3 linked regions of the Stegostoma tigrinum genome follow. The protein of the gene in region 2 interacts with the protein of the main gene of each other region in a biochemical or structural test. Links are inferred from orthologs where the notes say so. Each region holds a gene or a part of one and is shown on either strand. Other genes may lie near its edges.

What was found.
Region 1: of the proteins of lcp2a (region 2) and tyrosine-protein kinase ZAP-70, one has a biochemical effect on the other in vitro, tested with the Homo sapiens proteins (2 studies listed by BioGRID). The link is inferred for Stegostoma tigrinum from reciprocal best matches to the Homo sapiens genes LCP2 and ZAP70.
Region 3: the proteins of lcp2a (region 2) and tyrosine-protein kinase ITK/TSK-like form a complex in vitro, tested with the Homo sapiens proteins (2 studies listed by BioGRID, with this or other methods). The link is inferred for Stegostoma tigrinum from reciprocal best matches to the Homo sapiens genes LCP2 and ITK.

What each region holds. Positions count from the first base shown.
Region 1 is NC_081383.1:24,772,583-24,779,762, forward strand, and holds the start of tyrosine-protein kinase ZAP-70, read right to left. Parts: upstream 3,045-7,180; 5' UTR 2,962-3,044; intron 1-2,961. UniProt on the Homo sapiens protein: Tyrosine kinase that plays an essential role in regulation of the adaptive immune response. Regulates motility, adhesion and cytokine expression of mature T-cells, as well as thymocyte development.
Region 2 is NC_081366.1:64,043,444-64,050,383, forward strand, and holds the start of lcp2a (lymphocyte cytosolic protein 2a), read left to right. Parts: upstream 1-3,827; 5' UTR 3,828-4,085; coding exon 4,086-4,163; intron 4,164-6,940. UniProt on the Homo sapiens protein: Adapter protein primarily involved in signaling pathways within T-cells, as well as other immune cells such as platelets, mast cells, and natural killer (NK) cells.
Region 3 is NC_081366.1:12,414,230-12,421,656, reverse strand, and holds the start of tyrosine-protein kinase ITK/TSK-like, read right to left. Parts: upstream 3,001-7,427; 5' UTR 2,923-3,000; coding exon 2,785-2,922; intron 1-2,784. UniProt on the Homo sapiens protein: Tyrosine kinase that plays an essential role in regulation of the adaptive immune response. Regulates the development, function and differentiation of conventional T-cells and nonconventional NKT-cells.

The sequences.
Region 1 (7,180 bases), on a different chromosome or scaffold from region 2:
AATTTCTTTGCTGCATTTATTTCAACAATATTTCAGCTGTGCTATAAGTTACAAATTTAGGTAGCATTACCAACGTGGCTTTGCAGCAAAAGCTTTGAAGAAATTTAATTTAAAAGCATGGCCTTAATTTATATAGTGTATCTTTGAGGTATCAAAATATTGCTGAATGTAAATTAAAGTAGAGCTGTAAAATGAAGAATAATTAATAACTCTGCTTCTCGTTTCTCTCCGCTGTATCATTTCTGTTTCAATCACCTCTTAAATATTGTTTTACCTACATATATAGCCCCCAAAAGATCTGGATTCTTCACTGTAATCTGCAAACATTTGTTATTTTTTCTCTGAAAATGCTTTCAATCTTGCTGTTTTGCATCCCTTTGAGTTATCTATTGGTTAGTTTCTTACTGGTATATTTGAATATATCAGTGCGGCTTTTATTTTAGCTTTGAGCTCCATAAGTCTCCACTATTGTCCCCTTGACCTTGCAGCATTTCTCCCCATGCTTCCATAGTCATATGTTTGCTATCCACATGCTTTAGGACACTATTATACTATAGTCATTAACTGACAAAATAACTGAACAGTACAGCAAGCAACTTTGATTGGTGCCTGGGTCTTGTATTGAGCTCACTAACACAGCAGTCTGTTGAAATTGACTCAGTTTTCTTCTCCTCATCTAGTTGCTTCTTAATATTAGTGAAAATATGTTGGATCATCATCCACTTACTCAAAAGTACAAAAATAAATGCAGATGTAAGTTCATAATGTAAGCACTCTGATTCCAAGTACTTTACATATTTGTGGTATTATTGCAGCCAGTTTTAATGTTTGGGAAGGGTCACTCAATCTGAAGAGTCAACTCTGATTTGTCTCCACAGATGCTGCCAGACCTGCTGAGCTTTATAAGCAATTTCTGTTTCTGTTTCTAATTTACAAAATCTGATTTACTTCAAAATTCTCCACTAAGTGCATCCTAGAGCTCAAAGTTAGTGGTCTTTGTCTAAATGTTAAACTGAACACTAGAGTGTTCACAAGAAGACAACTATTCCCCAATGCCCATGTACTAGTCAATTTTGTTAAACCGATAGATACTCATTCTAATGTAAAATCATTCTTCAGTTGTTATGTTAAGTTGTTATTGACTGATTACCAATAAACTTGACTTTTTCATTGTTTCTTGTGCTCTTATCCATTTTCTCAGAAAATATAAAATATCTAAACCTACCAATGTAACCATCAATTCTGACCCCCCCTCATATGGGGCCCATTACCCAAGGAAGATAAAATGCCATTTGAGGCCACGTAAGTTTGCAAGGCTGATACCAGGGATAGAGGGGCTGTCTTATAAACCTTCTTAACTACATTGGGCCTTCTTAACTACATTGAAATATTGAGGAATGATTGGTGTTCTTAATGAAACGTAAAATTCTTACGGAAATTCAGAGGAGGCTTACCAGGGTGCTGCCTGGACTGGAGGGCTTATCTTATGAAGAGAGGTTGACTGAGCTCGGACTTTTTTCTTTGGAGAAAAGGAGGAGGAGAGGGGACCTAATTGAGGTATACAAGATAATGAGAGGCATAGACAGAGTTGATAGCCAGAGACTATTTCCCAGGGCAGAAATGGCTAACACGAGGGGTCATAGTTTTAAGCTGGTTGGAGGAAAGTATAGAGGGGATGTCAGAGGTGGGTTCTTTACACAGAGAGTTGTGAGAACATGGAATGCATTGCCAGCAGCAGTTGTGGAAGCAAGGTCATTGGGGACATTTAAGAGACTGCTGGACATGCATATGGTCACAGAAATTTGAGGTGCATACATGAGGATCAATGGTCAGCACAACATCGTGGGCTGAAGGGCCTGTTCTGTGCTGTACTGTTCTATGTTCTATGTTCTACGTTCTATGTTCTATGAGAAATTGGTATTTGGACTGAAGGTAATTTTATGATTCACAACTTTTGAAAATAGACAATTTGATAGAAATCCAAACTTACAGCTCAGTCCAGCAACAGACCAAAATTTTCCTGTGACTATTCTATGAGCTGAATTTGAAATTAGATAAACAATTATCCACCACTGGCAATCTCTTAAAAAATGTTGTCAGTATTCTGCGTCCAAAATATCTTGACTCTTCTGTTTGTCTGCAATATCAAATTCCTGATTTCTTTGGATAAAAATCATTAGCCTGAAGTGTTAAATTTCTCCCCAGAGTTATGTCATGTCCTGCTGAGAATTTGCAGAATTTTTTATTTTTTCAGATTTCCAGGCTGTGCAATTTTTGCTTTTGTATCAGAATTACGAGAGCGTTTATACGCATGGACATCATATTTCTTCTCCACGCATAGTTTAGAGCTCTGAAAAAGGGCCATCAACCTGAAACATTAACATTGTTTTTCACTTCACAGGTGTTTCCTTATCTGCTAAATATTTCTAGAATGTTTACTTCTTTGCTTAAAATTCCAGTGATCACAATATATATTTTGCTTTTGCTTCAATCGGCCCTATATGAGTTCGCGAATTACACTGGATCCCTTTAGCACTTTGCAACCAAATTTGATATTGTGCAGTAATTCCACTTCAGATGCATCCAAACCTGATGATGTGACCCTGACATGTCAAGTGGATCTCTCATTGATCCTCTCCATAATCAGGCCAGGACCTAAATCTGGAATTATACTGCAAATTTAGTGCAACTACAAAGATAAACTATTCAGCTATGATCTTAAATTTGGCCACAAACACTTGAGCATTTCTTATGATTCTTGTTGCACACGTAATGTTCTATTTTTTCAAAAATTAATTGAGTGAGGAAAACATAATTTTTGCAGAAGCCAGAATATTTCAATCTTCGGAGATTCTTTGATCTGTGGTTGACATTAAACACCAACATGAAGTATTTAGTTATCCAGAGTGAACTAATTAAACAGCCCCAAGAAGTGCATCTTTCAAAGCATTTTGTACTTACCCTTCTTGATTTGGCCTAGAATCTCACCATATCAGTTTCTAGCAAGTTACACATATTAGCCAACTGGCACTTTTATATATATATCATTCATTATATGCAGTTAGAACGCCACATCTGCAATTTGCAGACAGTCAGAAATGTGAGGCACTCACCAGCAACACTGTTTATGAGACGATTGACATGTGTGACACATGAGCTGAACCCTGGAACACATCCTCATTACATGTGCATAACAGGTTTGAAGTTTTGGTATCTAATTTCATAGGCTGCAATCAGCAGTCAATTTTTTAAAAAATTGCAATTGTTTAAACATCACTTTAAAAATACATGAAATGTTTCGAAAAGAACGATCCAAAATTCAGCAAATAAACTCGCGCATATATATATTCATTTTCTGCATTTTGCGCAAATGGAGTCTGAACACACAGCTTTGCCAAGGTACACCATGAGTTATTTATTGTCACACAGATCTAGAAAGATACAGTGAAAAGTGTTTTGTCAACACAATCCGGCACCATTTTGAATTACAAAAAGAACAAAAAAAAATTGTGTAAATCAAGTTCATCTTCTGACTAACGGGGCCTTCAAACACAGCTCCAGGGCATCTGCAAGGTGCCCTGGGCACCAAGGAGTCCCTGTTCTGGGTACAGTAACAATGACAGTGCCACGAGTCCATGTTTCAGGCACAACTGCGGCCAGGAGGTCTTCCTCCAGGCATCACACCCACTGCAACCAAAGACCTATTGGGCATAGCCGCAGATGACGACCTGCCAAGCCTCACTTCAGGCATCAATAACGGCCATAGCCAAAGACCAAACATCACCTAACTTCAATTGAATCGTGTGCAGATCAAGTATAATTCACTGAATACCTTCAGTTGTGAACTGGCTGAGGTGTGATAATTCTGCACAAAAAGCAAGTATCAGATCATGTCATTAGCGACATTATGGTCTCATGGACTAGTTTTGATCATCTGAAGTCATGTGACATATAATAGCCTGCCCTTTGTTCCAAATCTTTTGGGTATTTATAAGGATTTTCAAATCTCCCGGGACGTTACATAAAATCATAGAATCCCTGCAGCACAGAAGCAGACCAGACAGCCCATCAAGTCCAAGTTGACCCAACCCTTATCCTATCCCTGTAATTCTGCATTTCCCATAGGTAATCTAAATTTCCTGCACATCTCTGGGCAATTTAGTACGTCCAATCCACCTAACCTGCACATCTTTAGGCTGTGGAAGGAAACCAGAGCACCAAGAGGAAATCCATGCAGATACGGGTAGAATGTGCAAACTCCACTCAGACAGTTGCCAGAGGCTGGAATAGAACCCGGGTCCCTTGCTCTGTGAGGCAGCAGGGCTTTTCACTGAGCCACCATGCCAAGGCATGGCTCTGGGAGTCATGTTTGCAGAGTGTAGTGCATAAGCCATCACAATGTGATTGCCAGGCTGGATAGACAAAACAGTCTTTCATTAACTTCCATTGATTATCTCGATCAATTAACTTTTTCTGTAAATAGTAAAATGTATCCTGAGGATTCATAAATCCCAAGCATAAATAAATTCATCACTGAAGCATGAACAGCTGCATAGGATTTTTTATTGACCTATTGACAAATTCAGGCTAAATATTTCTCAATGAAAATGATGAATAATTTTCCATGCTATGTAGTGTCTTTGCAATTTTATATAATATTTTAGAATGGTAAATGAATAGATGTTTAAACACAATCAATTTCACTTCAATTATTATTTGACAACCTATTGTTTTATAAGTTACTGTAGGAAAAAAACCTGCTTCTATTCAAGATAACCAATTCAATCTTTGACATATAAAACTGTCAGTTGCTGAAATACACGCTGAATAGTAAACATTGTTAAACATTTTCAGTTGAGGTCATTCTTCAAAATTTAAGAACATTTTCATTCTGTCTTTCAACATTTACATTGAACTTCAGAAGCCACACAACACCAGGTTATTGTCCAACAGAACTTCACCTCACCAAGGGACAGCACTCTGAAAGCTTGTGATTTCAAATAAACCTGTTTGTCTCTAACCTGGGTGTCATGTGACTTCTGACCTTGTCCACTCCAGCCCAACACCGGCATCTCCATACATAGGATTTGACAACTTTTGCTGATGTAGAAGTATTGAATGTGCTCAATTAGGTGTGATAGAAATGCTGTAGATCCGAAAACTTTCTTCGTTCAAGCCTAGTTGAAAATCTACATTGTGAGTGGATTTTGTAGCAGCTCAATATAATCTTCATTCCCTTCAATGAAGTAGAGTGCACTCATTTTCAGTTTATATTAATCTGTTAAAAAAATATATTTCTTAAAGATGAATAAGAAACCATTAATTTATGACTGATAGTTCCTGTTATGGTTTTGTTTCTGAGTTAATGGAAAAATTTAGTTTTTCATAGAGTAGGTGTTTTTTTTGGTACAGATAAAATATTTGATTAACATTCCGAACTGCGCATTACAGGAAAATGAAGGTACGTTTAAAACAACATAACTCATTAGTAACGGGGAAATGTTTAACTTCTTTCAGAACCCAGCCAACAATTTGCTATCCTTTTAAAGATCTCACAACAGGCAATGGCACTGCCACATTTTTAATTCAAAGTTAAAAAGATCAAAAAAGTTAGAATTTGCAAAGGATTTCAAATATTCCAGTCTCAAATGAATTAATGACATGACAGAATCCACATTTTTCCACTGAAAGACGTTCCTTTGAATAGTCCAACACTGATTTTGATTTCAATTTCATTACTTTAAATAATGAAACACAAAAATAATTAGAAAAAAATCATGTTTGTTAAGATGATTTTTCCGATGAATTTGTATTAGAAGAAAAATGGTCTACGTCGTGCACTCCGATGTTCTGTTGCCAAATAAAATGCTTTAGGGGCAAATTACTGCAAATACTGCAACCTGTGCTGTGCTGGGAATCACAGTGGGTCAGGCAGCATTCACAGAGAGAGAGCAAGCTGATGTTTCAAGTCTAGATCGCTCTTCAACAGAGCTGACGTGAGGTGTGTAGGGTGCTGCATTCATGCAACAATGGGGTGTGGTGGAGTGTAGTTGGGGAAAGGGTGTTGATAGTGTAAAGTAAAATGCTTTAATAGCTGGAAAATCTTGTAGTTAGCATGTTCTTTTCACCCACCCGCCACACACTCTCCTAGAAACAACTTTTACATTTCACATTCTTAACTTGATTCCAAGCTCATTATTCCAGCTGTTGAAAATGTTGAAACTACAGTGCAAAAAGTTTGATGTCACTTGATAAAGCTGCACTTACAGCTGTATATGTGGGGTGGGCTGCATAGGTTAAAAGAAACTGATTTTGGATCTGATTTTGCAAAACAGTATCACTGAAATGGCAATATAGAGTTTACACTTTACACAGTAAGATTTTCTGACATTAAGTGGCTGCCTAACCCAGAAATCACATCCCACCATTTTTATCGTAATGTATGCGCTACGTGTGGTTTTTTAATTCAAACGGAACTTCAGAGCAACTGTGGCATAAATAAAATGTCCAAATATGTATAAAAAGACGGCGATCAGTGGATGTCATCTTGAAAATGATGTGAGTTACAAGCATCCAAAGCGGAAATCGAGAAGTAATGTTGTCTACCGTACAAGAGCTGCAAAGCCGCAAGTGAAATTTCATTTCACCAATTTTCTTTAAGTTTGAATGAATAATTACTTATTAATGCAGTCTGGCTAGAAAGTTTCACAATTTAACAGTCTTACAGCGTTAATATGGTGTTATAACATGTGGTTAAAATATACGCAACAACATGACAAGATACGCACAGGATTAGCATTATAAATAGTGATTAACATCATCGGAATTTAATCTTGCTTAGTTTTTATTGTATGGTGTTGATTATTTACGCATAGTATTTATTTGAACAGAATTCTCACATTCTCGTGACAGCTATTTAAAAATAATGAACTGTTGGCATTGATAACATTAACAAAAGAAAACTTCAACAATATTGTAAAAAGAGCAATGTTTTCATATAAATATCTTGACAACAGTAAAATTCTGACTGGATTTTCATTTATTTCAAATATTAGCCTGTATGTAATTATATGCTTGAAGTTGCCATAATGGTTACATTTCTTCAGCTTTTCTCATTAATTCATTTATTGTCCGCTATTTGTTTAGTGCTAAACGTGTTGGGGAGACTCTCATTAGATTA
Region 2 (6,940 bases):
ATATTTACAGTGGGGAACTCAAGAACTATTTTGACAGAAACCTGCTTAACCAAACTTCTTAAAAATATTTTTTTTTCTTCCCCAGATATGGAATGGTGGCACAATGGTTAGCACTGCTGTCTCACGGCGCCAGGGACCTGGGTTCGATTCCAGCCTCATGTGACTGTGTGTGTGGAGTTCGCAAATTCTCCCCCTGCCTGTGCGTGTTACTTCAGGATGCTGTGGTTTCCTCACACAGTCCAAAAATGTGCAAGTTAGGAAAATTGGCTATGCTAAATTGGCCAATAATGTGCAAGTTAGGTAGGTTAAGTGAAATCAATATAAGTATACAGCGATAGGATATAATGTTCTTTCAAGGGTCAGTGCAGAATCACTGGGCTGAATGGCCTTTATCCACAGCCTAGGGATTCTATGATTTGTGCAAAGCCTTCTTCCAACATCTGAGCAGGGAACATCTTCCTTGTGCCTGCTACAATAGCATCACAGAAACATAGGTAGTGGAGGAATCTGGGACAGGATCTGATGATACTTCACATGCCCTCCTCCCATGCAGGAAGTGGGACTCAGAAGAACATGTCACCTCATCAAACTCCCAATTCTTGAATCGCTTTTTTACCTTGTTTGTCTTTGCAGAGGTATCCAAAAACAATGAGATTCCTCAATTATTTTCTCATCAGCAACTCTACTGGGCATATTCTATTTCAAATTATACTTCAACCTCACTCTCTACAGAAAACAATCTGAACACTTGAACTAATTACTTGACGTTTATACAAAACACCCTCGATATCTGTATGATTCCATTCTATAGCATATTCCTGTCATATATAAAAAATACATTCAATTCCTGTCATCTTTTCTTGTCCCTATGACCACATTTATAATAGAAAAACTTCTTGTAAACTTGCCATATGGTAGTTACATACTTCACCAGAGCAGGTACTGAAGTACCACTTTTGGTGGGACGGTGTAATTAGACTGTGACATGTATGAAAAAATCACTTTCCACAATAAATGCAGAGATCAAAATTTATGTTTTTTTTATTCTTCAATGGCATGTTGGTGTTACTGACTTTTATTGACTATCCCATATTGCCCTTGAGTGATGGGTTGTCTTCCTGAATCGCTGCAATCCATCTGGCATTGGTACTGTTAGGAAGGGAGTTACCTGCAGCAGTGAAGCAACAATGGTATCATTGTAAGTCAGAATGGTGTGTGGCTTGGTGGGGGACATGCATGTGATGGTGTTCCCATGAGCTCTCTGGACAGTTCAGGAAGTGCTACTGAAGGAACTTCTATGAGTCACTGCAGTGCATTTTATACATGGTATGCAGCCACAAATAACATTCACACATCACACAAGTGCCAGACAATGGTCATCTCCAAGTGTTGGAGAGGTAAACACTTAAGTTAGTGGATGTGATGGCAATCAAGCAGGATTTTTTTTCCCTCTTTATTTGCAAACTAAGTCCCCATTGAACCCATGTCCCTGGCACTGTGAGGCAGCAGTGCTAAACATTGTGCCACAGTTCCATTCCTGGGAGGAAAAAGAAAGATTTTTAAAAACTTTTGTGAAGCAAGTTTCTGTCAAAATAGTTCTTGAGTTCTTCGCTGTAAATACAATATTCAAATTAATCTAAAGCCAGTCCATTTGAGTTGTCTACTCAACAATTAATGCAAACTATTGTAGTTGGTACAAGTTCAGTATTAGATGCAAAAGAAGGTGGCGATCTTCTTGAGTGTTGTTGGAGCTGCACTCATTCAGGCAAGTCAGGGAGCATTCCATCGGCATCCCATCTTGTGTGGCGGGCTCTGGGGTCATGAGGCAAGTTACTCGTTGCAGAATTCTCAGACTTTGACCTGCTGTTATAATCACAGCATTTGTATTGCCAGTCCAGATCAATTTCTAAACAATGTCCAGTATGTTGATTGTGGGGGACTCAATGATGCTAATGCCATTGAATGTCAAGGTCAATGATTAGGTTCTCTCTTTTTTTGAGAGGACCTTTGCCTGGCACTTGTATGATGTGAATGTTATTTACACTTGTCAGCCTAAACCTATCCAGATCTTATTGCATTGGACATGAGTTGCTTCAGCTTCTGAGGAATTGCAAATGGTGCTGAACATTGAACAGTCATCAGCAAACATTCTTTCGTGATGTAATATCGAACGAAGAACTGCAGGTGGCAGGGATCTGACACAAACAAAACCAGAAATTGCTGATGAAACTCAGCTAGTCTGTCAGCATCTGAGTCAACACAGTCACCATCTTGAGTCCAGTGACCCTTCTTCAGAACTATAATGAGGTCTTGCGGCTGAGATGACTGGCTTCCACCAACCATAGCCATCTTTCTTCGTGTTGGGTGTGACTCCGAACAGATGAAAGATTTCCCATGATTCTCATTGACTTAAGTTTTGACAGGGTTCCTTGCTAAGGTACCAAACTTAGTAAAATATTGCTCTTAATGTCAAGGACAATCATTCTCACTGTACCTCTTATATTTCAGGTCTTTGGCCCATTTTTGGATCAAAGCTATAATGAGGCCAGGAGTTGACTAAGCTCAGCAGAACTCAAATTGAGTGCCAGTGCCACTTGCTAGCATTGTCAATGACACTTTCTGTCAGTTTGATAATAGTCAAGAGTAGCTTGATAGAGTGGTAATTGGCCAGGTTGTATTTGACCTGCTTTTTGTGTAAAGGACATACTTGGGAAGTTTGCTATATTATCGGTTAGATTCCAGTGTTGTAGTTGCACCAGAACAGTTTGGCTAGGGGTGCAGCAAGTCCTGGAGCACAAATCTTCACAGCATGATTCCTGGAATGTTGTCAGAGCCAATACCTGCAAATGTTATCAGAAAATATATGAATACACATGTTTTTGAGAATTTTATGAGCACTAGAGGCATGGCTTTAAAATAGTTCCTGAATTTTATTTGCAGGCCTGTGCCCTTTTCTCTCCAGAAACTATTTGACTCTTGAAAGCTAATAAACAACAATTCAGATATTCCACATTGAAACCATCAGAAACCTCAAATAAAATCCAGTCAATATAGTCCAATATACTGATCATAAATCTACTGCACCCCTTGATTTTTCAAAATTCACTCTTAGCCATGGACATCACTGTTAAGTTTGGCCTATCCCTGCACTGAGAAGCTGATGGTGAGCTGTCTTTTTGAACTAATCATTTTAACATAATTTCTCGGGTCGGACATTAGACTGCAGTTACTTTTAGATCAGACTCTATAAACACACCCAGTTTCCTTCCCGAATGGAAATAAATAAGCCTCTTGGGTTTTCAATGACAATTGTTAACTTCAAGGCAACATTTACTTAAAGTTACAGCTTTATTACAAGAATTTCAAAATTGAATTCAAATATCAGACTGTGACGATGAGATCTGACCCCACATTCTCCAGCAGATTGTGCCAAGCCTATAAGTCAGCAACATAATCACCCAACTACTGTAGCTGAGGTTAAATTCTAGGTTGAAAATAATTCCTCACTGTTCATTCTTCTTTAATGTGTGGGAGTGTGAGATTCAATCTTAACCATATACCTTTTAAAAAGCAAACAATGACTGGGATTTCATCCCAGAGAGTTGGTCTTTCTGCACTGCTGAGCAAAACATGTGCCTCTTGCATTTAGTTAAGTTCACTGTGTTATGATCAGAGCTGGAGGTACCTTACTGAAGTCTGGTATAATCATGCGAGAGGACAGTTTCTGCTGAATTTCTGTAGAATAAAGAGGGGAAGTGACAAAGGAAGTTAGTCAAATCCATTTTAGTGTTGATTTTCTCAAAATAACATTCAGCAGGAGGCAATGATACAGTTTCACTTCTAAGTCCATCATTAGCATTTACTTTTCAGCCTACATTTAATTATTTTAAGAAGTAAACCAAATGTTTACCGACTGAAGTATCTTATTCATTATTATCATTGATCAGCACCCTACGCACTTCCTTTCTAGGTACTGTGAAGGTTGTGGTGCGTGACAGGAAGAGAAAAGACCCGTTATTCTTCTCAGCTATATGTTGTAACATGATATTAAGCGAAAAATAATTGGAGACTTGGGAGAAAAAACAATGGCTTTCAGAAACCTTCCAAACCGTAACGATGTACTTCAGTGGTCCCCAAATCATTTGGCTGACTATTTCAGAATGGTAGGTACAGCCAAAGGCTCTTTTGTTCTTCCTTGTATTCTACTGAACTCCATGAATAATGCTTTTTTAGCTGTGTAGAATGATTATCTGGCTGATGTGCAAGGTAAAACTTTAAGCAGTTCAATGGTTGGCAATGATTATATCAAAGTTTGGCTTTAAAATGTTAGAATGTGGTAGTATGCCTTTTTTCATCATCAATGCCGGGAAGTTGTACTTTCTTTAAAGTTCAAAAAGTTCTTTGTTTACACTTCCATATATTAATGTGATCATCAACTTTGTTGATGCCTTTTTTATCTTTAGATTCAAACTATTCCCATGCTCTCTTAGCCAATCTCCCATCTTCGGTCCACCCTATATTTGAGCTTATCCAAAACTCTGCTGCATGCCCTAACTCACATTAAGTTCCGGACACTTTTGCTCACTGACTTACAATTACCCCCAGTGCAGCAACATTTTGATTTTAAAATTCTCATTCTTGTTTTCCAATTCTTCAATGCCCTGGCTGTTCCTCGATCTAGACATTCCTCCAGCAGAAGAAGCCATTCCAATCTCACTGATCCTCCAATTTTGCCCTTTTCAGCATCTCCAATTTTTGTCTCTCCATGATTGGTTTTTAATGTCTGTGCCATAAATTCTGGAATTCCATCCCCAAACTTTGCCATGTCTCTGCCTCGTGTCTTCTTCTTTTCAGTCACTCCTTGAAACCTACCTCTTTAACCAAACTTTGGTCCACCTGATCTCATACCATTGAAGTTGTCAACATCAAAGTTTTTTTGATAATGTTTCTTTGAAGCTTCTTGGGATGTTTCACTACATTGAAGAAGTTATATAAATGCTAACTCTTGTTGTTAGCCATCCTGCGCAGTTGATTGAAAAGATAAGCCGCGGTGTTTGCTAAAGGTCTTTTTGGATTTTGCAATAAAAATGCTTAAATCAGCAGCTAGTTTCCAATAATTATGGATTTAAAAGAAACTATTGCAAAAGAAAAATTGTTTCATGAAGCAAGTCCTGAAATTGCCTTAGGAGTACTTGTTCTTTTGCCAGCCAGAGACAAATGTTACAATATGAAGTTATAGTCCTTGTATTTGAACATGGAAAATGTGGCTCAGTTAAATTGCTACATTTGTTTTTAAAATAACCTCAAGTCTGTTTTGGATTTAACGAGCAAGGTGTCTCTGCCTGTTGCATGTGAATATTCATTTTATATATCGGTACAGAAATGATACATTCTGACGGTCAGAATCTTTTTCCCAGAGTTAAAATGAGTAATGCTGGGGTGCATGCCTTTAGGGTGAAAGGGGGAAAGTTCAAAGGAGGTGTGAGAGGCAAGGTTTTTACACAGAGAGTGGTAGGAATCTGGAACGTGCTGCCAGAGGTGGTGGTGGAGGCAGATACGATAGGATTGTTCAAGGGACTTTTAGACAAGCACATGACTCTGCAAGGAATGGAGGGATAAGGAACAAGGGCAGGCAGAAGGGATTTGTTTAATTTGGCATCATGTTTGGCACAACATCATGGGTCGAATGACCCGTTCTTGTGTTGTTCAGTTCTGTGTTCTATGAATTATACAGAAATAGCATACAGTAAAGCAGGCCATGGATGCCAGCCTCCCTGCCTTCCTGTTTAATCATCATATGATCAATGGTTGTGATTTCATTTGCCTGTCTTGTCCCCATATTTCTTTATTCTCTTTCATCCAACCACATCTCTGGGCTAGTTTTAAATATAATACAACACAGCACAGAACAGGCCCTTTTGCCTACCAAATGACTTCACATGGAAAGCTTTTAACAATTGGTAACTGATGCATTAAGAGTATTCACTGACTTATGATCATGTCAATGGTAGGGTCAGTTCATGTTGAGGATGGTTGAAATAGGATTTTAAAGTGCTGATCCCTGACCTCTTCTGAAGGTTGGTCATACATCATAGACAAGAGAGATAATTATAAATCTCTTCCTATTAAAGAACTGTTTAACAGACACTGTTGTTGCGTAATGGATATATATTGTGATGTTACAGTGACATCAGCAATCAGATGCAAGAGATTGTGAAGCAAAGATGGAATAGCCTGTTATTGTGAGAGATGTACTTGCAGGAAACATATTATGTACATAAGCGTGAATAAAAGAGTTTGCAGAAATCTACCAGTCTCAGCCAGCAATCACTCATAGGTCAAGGGAAACTATTACAGGCCACAAGCTAACAGAAGGAAAAAGCATAGCCATATTTTCAACGTGTAAAATTGAGCCCCGAGGCAAAGGCCTGCTGGCAACCTAACTAAACATTGCTGAGATTTGGCTATAGTGTTGAACCAAAACCTTATGTTGTTCAGGCTCCCTAGTCTTGGAAGGTACTAGAGGTGTTGTTTCCTCTTTTACCAATGAATTCACCTCGTCCCTCTATCCTGGAATTTCCCTGTTCTTAGACTATGATTCTCTTTTAAATTGATACAATGATCTGAGTCAGAAATGGATAGGCCAAACGTCTGTTCATGTAAACAATGAACTTTGTTCAGTACACATATTCTCCAGAAAATTATCGCATGCAGTCTGTTCAGGTTGAGCTGCCTGCCTCATGTTTGTTCCACTACATCCATTAATCTATGTCCTAGGTTACTCCTTCAGTTTCTTCAGTTATCTCAATTTCAACTCCTTTCTCAGCTCTCCCTATTATCCCTCCTCTAATTTTGCTGACTTCCTGTCATTGCCTGACCTCTTCCTCCATATAAACTGCCCAACCCATCTTCATTACCACCCTTTTGTCACAGAGAAAGC
Region 3 (7,427 bases), about 52 Mb from region 2:
ACACACACACACACACACACACACACACACACACACACACACACACACACACACACACACGTGTATGCACACACATTCACAGTCTCTCTCTCTCACATACACACATTCACAGTGTCACACACACACACTCACATATACATCCACGTGCACACAACCACGTTCACTCACAGGCTGACATTAATGCATAGACATTAAATAACATGCTTCTCACAAACATGCACACAGACAAAACATACACAAAATCACGCATGCAGGCAACACTCAAAGTCATTCAAACACACACAGGCTGACAAACACACACACTACACAACGCCTATGTGCATAGAACCTCTCAAATCTTGCTCCAGAATTTTGGCCCTGGTCACATCCTTGCACACCCACAATGGATACAACCTGATGCAATATTCACAGTCTCTGAAAACACAAGTCTACTTTGTTGGACAGTGAATTCAAGAACCTCGAGTGCCCTAAGCACAACCGTCTTTCATCCCTCCATCTTAAAGTGGAAGCGGGGCTGTCTGCTGATGATTGTGTAATGTTCAGTGTCACTTGCATCTCCTAGGATACTGAAACAGTTCATGTCCAAAGGCAACAAGATCTGGACAATATCCAGGCTTGCGGTGACAAGTGGCATGTAATGTTTGCACCACATAAATGTCAGACGACAGCCATGTCCAACAAGCAATAATCCAACCATTGCCTCTTAATGTTCAATAATATTTCAATCACTGAGTCACCCACTGTCAATATTCTGAGGGACACCATTGACAAGAAACTGAACTAGACCAGCCATGTAAATACTATGACTATGGGGATGAGACAGAAGTTGGGAATTTTGTAATGAGTAGCTCACCTCTCAACTTCCCAAAGCCTGTCCACTATCGACGAGGGACAGGTCAGGAGTGTATGGAATGCTCTCCATTTGCCGGAATGGGTGCTGCTCTAATAACATTCAAGAATCTTGACACCATCCAGGACAAAGCAACCTGCTTGATTGGCATCACACCCTGCATCTTCACTATCCACACCCTATACCACCAACATGTAGTCACAGCAAAGTGTACTATTTATAACATGCACTAGATGTACTGTAGCAATTTGCAAAAGCTCTTTCTCCAACACAGGGAAAAAATCTGCAACTTCTGCCAACTAGACAGACAAGGGCGGCAGGTACAGGGGAACACCAGCTCCTATAAATTCACCTCCAAGTCACTCACCATCCCGATCTGCAACGTAATCAATGTTCCTTCACTGTTGCTGGGTTAAAATCCTGGAACTGCCTCCATTAAGAGCATTGTGAGTGCCCCAACATGAGGTTAACTGTGGCAGTTCAACAAGGCAGCTCACCACCACTTTTTCAAGGGCACTCAAGGATATACAATAAACGTTGGCCTTGCCAGTGGATACCCACATCTCGTAAGGTGTGATGTAGAAATATTGGTCATATATGGAGGTTTTAAGCAACATCTGAAAGGGTAGAGAGGGAGATGGTGTGAGGGAGTGAACTTCAGAGCTTAAGGCTTTGAGTTTTCACAATACCATTGATGTTGGCTTGGTGTAAATTGAGAATGTATTAAAGGCCCGAGTTGGAAGAGCTCTTACATGTGTGAGCCGTTTGAGGAGATTACAACAAAAGGGAGGGGGCAAGGTGACACAGAGGAATTTGAAAATGCGGATGAGGCCTTTAAAACTGAAGTTTCATTGAATCAGGAGCCCCTGTGGGTGTCAGAAGGACTGGACTTGGTGCTGGTTATGATTCACAATTTTGGGTGAGCTGAAGTTTTTGGTGTTGGACTATATCAGGAAGGACGTGGCCTTGGCATATCATCACTACACTGTTAATCCAGAGACCAGGGAATACTCTGGGGACCTGAGTTTGAATCCCACCATCGCAGATGGCGAAATTTGAATTTAATTTAAAAGAAAGTGGAATGAAGTGACTAATGATGACCATCAATCCATTGCTGATTGTCAGAAAAAATCCATCTGGTTGACCAATGACCTTTAGGGAAGGAAACTGCCACCGTTACCTGGCCTGGACTACATATAACTCCACACCCACAGCAAAGGGATCGACTCTTAATGCACTTGTCCTGCTGTGCTCATCCAGCTCCACACTTTGTTATCCCGGATTCTCTAGCATCTGCAGTTCCCATTATCTCTGACCTCTGGACAATTCGAGATGGGCAATAAACGTTGGCCTAGCCAGCAATACAGTCATCCCATGAAGGAAAAAATGAAATGATATAAAACCTAACCCAGAACAACATGTCATTATGAGGTGAACACATTCCTGGAGCTGGCTGGGCAGACAAACAGGACGGTTGAGAGTAGAGTAACAGTTAAAAATAATGAACCACAGCCCACTGTGAACACGCACTAAAGCTTAACACACCGACTCGCTGTACAAGCATTGACACTCTGGCAACCAAGAACAAGACTGAACTTCAAACCAGAAAGTTCACTCAGTCTCACGCTCATTCACACTCACTCGCTGATCACCACTGTGAAATGGAGAGAAACTAATTGTGTTCTGACAAAGATGGCACTGAGCCTCAGACGCTCAACAGGGCCACTGGCACAGAGAGGTGACAGAAGCTACACAGGAGAAAGCAAGGCCAGAAAAATCCTTAGCAATAGGCAGGACACTGTGAAGGAAGGCAGCCTTTTGGAAGGAGAACTGTGCTGGGCAGACGCTGACATCTGGCCACAGCCAATGGAAGGGGTGAGATTGATGTGAGGCTGTTGGCGAGATGGATTAAGCGAACAAGTAGAGACACATACCCCTGTACGGCACTCGTAGTAAGCCAGCCTGGATTTGGTCAGAATGAAATATCGATCTTTGTAGTTGGAGGGTGAAGTCCTTCGTTTTTGCTGTGAGCGCTTGATGAGAAATTCCTCAAGGATGGAAGGGGGATTCATCCTTTCGGCGGGTAACACTCCCCATCGAGAGGAGGTGGTGGTGGGGAGGTGAAGCTGATCGGAAGGTTGTGTGCAGGTCACAGCATTAGGCACAGCGTAGGTGCACAGATGCTGATAACTGAGAAACTGTCAGGAAAAAGCACCACGCAGGCTTCAGACTCGGATGAAGGTAGAATGTGAAACCACTTCCTTTCTATCTGCCTTTGCAAATCCTGTGAGCAGAAACGAGAAAAACCCAAACCATATCGCGCCAACTTATATGCAGGCCAATTGCTGCCACCCGTTAACATAGAGAGAAATGCTTTGAACCGATCAGAGGAAAAATCATGCCGGCAACACATTCTTTAGAACTTCAGAAGTGATCAGGGATTCTGACAATGTGACCAAGGGCTGAATATTTCAACCGGGTGGAGAGGTGGGGGGGGGGGTCAATGAGTGATCAAAGGGAGAAACTTTCTCATCCTCAGCAAACAAAGGCAGAGATTCTTTTACACCGACATGAGTGCCACACACTGTCAGACAGTCAATATGGATGGAGTGCTGCATTGTCAGTACTGAGGGAGTGCCGCACTGCCAGAGGGTCAGTACTGAGGGAGTGCTGCACTGTCAGAGGGTCAGTACTGAGGGAGTGCCGCACTGTCAGAGGGTCAGTACTGAGGGAGTGCTGCACTGTCAGAGGGTCAGTACTGAGGGAGTGCTGCACTGTCAGAGGGTCAGTACTGATGGAATGATGGTGAGGCAAACTGAGGGGGTGATGGTGATAGCTGAACCATCCACTGGTATGGCAATATCTCTCATCACTCTTCCTGCCCTTTCCTCAGTCTCTTCTGTTCCACAGCATTAAACATCATCGGTGACTGGATGGAGGTCAGTCTAACTCCCCTTTTAATCTGGAATTTGTACATATGCCAAATCTGACCAACTCCTGAAGCAATCCTGTCATCCTGCACTGTCAGAGGGTCAGTACTGAGGGAGTGCTGCACTGTCAGAGGATCAGTACTGAGGGAGTGTCGCACTGTCAGAGGGTCAGTACTGAGGGAGTGCTGCACTGTCAGAGGGTCAGTACTGAGGGAGTGCTGCACTGTCAGAGGGTCAGTACTGAGGGAGTGTCGCACTGTCAGAGGGTCAGTACTGAGGGAGTGTCGCACTGTCAGAGGATCAGTACTGAGGGAGTGTCGCACTGTCAGAGGGTCAGTACTGAGGGAGTGCCGCACTGTCAGAGGGTCAGTACTGAGGGAGTGCTGCACTGTCAGAGGATCAGTACTGAGGGAGTGCTGCACTGTCAGAGGGTCAGTACTGAGGGAGTGCTGCACTGTCAGAGGGGCAGTACTGAGGGAGTGTCGCACTGTCAGAGGGTCAGTACTGAGGGAGTGCTGCACTGTCAGAGGGTCAGTACTGAGGGAGTGCTGCACTGTCAGAGGATCAGTACTGAGGGAGTGCTGCACTGTCAGAGGGTCAGTGCTGTGGGAGTGCTGCACTGTCAGAGGGTCAGTACTGAGGGAGTGCCGCACTGTCAGAGGGTCAGTACTGAAACAGTGCTGCACTTTTGGGGGTCAGTACTGAGGGAGTGCCGCACTGTCAGAGGGACAGTACTGACGGAATGCTGCACTGTCAGAGGGTCAGTACTGAGGGAGTGCCGCACTGTCAGAGGGGCAGTACTGAGGGAGTGCTGCACTGTCAGAGGGTCAGTACTGAGGGAGTGCCACACTGTCAGAGGGTCAGTACTGAGGGAGTGCCACACTTTCAGAGGGTCAGTACTGAGGGAGTGTCGCACTGTCAGAGGGTCAGTACTGAGGGAGGGCTGCACTGTCAGAGGGTCAGTGCTGTGGGAATGCTGCACTGTCAGAGGGTCAGTATTGAGGGAGTGCAGCTCTTGAATAAGCCTCGTAGGATGGTGGGTCACACCAAAATCTATGAGGTTTTTCATAGAATCCCTACAGTGTTGGAACAGGCCATTCGGCCCAACAAGTTCCACCGACCGTCGGGCATCCTAATCAGACCCATCCCCCTATAACCTACCTAATCTACACATCCCTGAACACTGTGTTCAATTTAGCATGGCCAATCCCCCTAACCTGCACATCTTTGGACTGTGGGAGGAAACTGGCACACCCGGAGGAAACCCACGCAGATACGGGATTATTGTCCAAATTCCACACAGACAGTCGCCTGAGGGTGGAATCAAACCTGGGTCCCTGGTGCTGTGAGACAGCACTGCTAACCATTGGGCCACCGTGCCACTATTGCCACTGAATACAATGATGACAGTGGTCACTTGGCTGAATTAGTGGGATGCCAGCTTGAAATGTGAATGTACACCAAGGTCTTTTCCCCAGGGTTAGAGAGTCCAAAACTAGAAGGCATAGGTTGAGGTCAGAGAGTAATAATTCAAAAGTGACCTTTTAAAGGGTGGAACATTTTCACACAGAGGGTGGTCCGTGTCTGGAATGAGCTGCCAGAGGAAGTAGTGGCAGCTGGGATAATTCCAACATTTGAAAGGCATCTGGATAGGCTAAATGCAGGCAACTGGGACTAGCTTAATTTGGTAATCTGGTTGGCGTGGACGAGTTGGGCTGAAGGGTCTGTTTCAATGCTGTTTGATTCCATGGCTCTATAAGTGAATCAGGTGAGTTTTTATGACAATCAACAGTAGCTACGTGGTTAACATTAGACCAGCTTTTTTTTTAAAAAGTTCACAACCTGTCATGATGGGGTTTTTGAATTGGTGTCCCCAGGACACTTGCCTAATCCAGTGACATTGCCACTACACAGACAGCTCCACGTTATAAAGATAAAACCTGAACTAGGAGACATATTAAATAGCCACCACTACCTTTACAAGGGCAACCAGGGATAGGCAATAAATACTGGTCTTCCCAGCAGCATCGACATCCCATGAATACTTGAGAAGGAATTTAGCATTTTTGACTTGGTCCTAAAATTCTCCCTCAGGTACAATTTAACGGAAATAATTTTCTCAATGAATAAATATCAGAACATAGATTTGTGACTTAAGAATTCCAGAATATTTTCATTTGTTTGTTCCTGGGTCAGACCTTTGAAGCACGAACTGTGAGTTTACAACTTTTTAATGCTTACTCAATACCATTTTATTCTAAGAAATAATCCTGGATGACATTACTGTAATAATTCCAATATTACATAATGTAGAATAATTACTATGGTCGACCAATCCCTTTAGAAAGAAGTAATGTGAACATGAATACACAGTGTGATAATGTTGTTCATAAACATTCTCCTGTAAAGAAAGGTAATGTAACAATTTCTACTTGCGTACAAATGAATTTACAAATCCATCGAGAAGTAGATTGTCAGAAAAAGTAAATATTATGTAGAAATAAATGTTAAGTAAGCTTTAAAATCCAATCAGAAAAAAAAGTAAGACATATAGTCAAATACTTTACAAAAAGTTTACAATCCCAGTGTGTTTGTCTTGTCTCAGCCTTTACAGGAATTCTCTGATGAGAACTCAACTCTAGCCCTTTGTAAGTTCCCCTCCAAGCCATTCACCATCCTGACTTTGAAATATATCAACATTCCTTCACTGTAACTGGGTCAAAATTCTGGAGTTCCCTCCCTAATAGCACTGTAGGTCTATCTACTGCAGATGGACTGCAGGTGTTCAGGAAGGCAACTCAACACCACCTTCTCAAGGGCAACTAGGGATGTACAATAAATGCTGGCCCAGACAGCGATGCCCACATCACTCAAGCCAATAAAAAAATCTCGGATTGAGATAGCTCTTCAGGGTTAGTTTTGTCATGTACATGTTTTCTTTACTTGATTACTGTGCCACCTTTTGAAAGAAAGAGTACTGTTTGAAATGAGATAACAAGGTGTAGAGCTGAATGAACACAGCAGGCCAAGCAGCATCAGAGGAGCAGGAAAGCTGACGTTTCAGGCCTAGAACCTTCCTGAAATGTCAGCTTTCCTGCTCCTCTGATGCTGATTGGCCTGCTGTGTTCATCCAGCTCTACACCTTGTTATCTCGGACTCTCCAGGATCTGCAGTTCCTACTATCTCTGAAACACTTTTTGAAATGACTTTCGTAATGTCATAAATAAAAACACCAAGTGCTGAGAAGTTCAGTGTACCTGGCAGGATTTGTGGAGACTGAAACAGACTTAACAGGCTGCTTAGAGATAATGGGAACTGCAGATGCTGGAGAATCCAAGATAACAAAGTGTGGGGCTGGATGAACACAGCAGGCCAAGCAGAAGGGTCTAGACCCGAAACGTCAGCTGTTGTGCTCCTAAGATGCTGCTTGGCCTGCTGTGTTCATCCAATTTTACACTTTGTTAACAGGCTGAATATATCCCCTGACTGATGAATCAGTCCTCCTTCATGTTGAACAACATTTAGAGCAAGCACCGAGGATGGCAAGGGCACAAAATGTACTCTGGGTGGGGTATTTCAACGTCCTCCACCAACAGCGGCTCAGCAACAGTACAGCTGATTGAGTTGGTCAGCTCCTAAAGGATGTA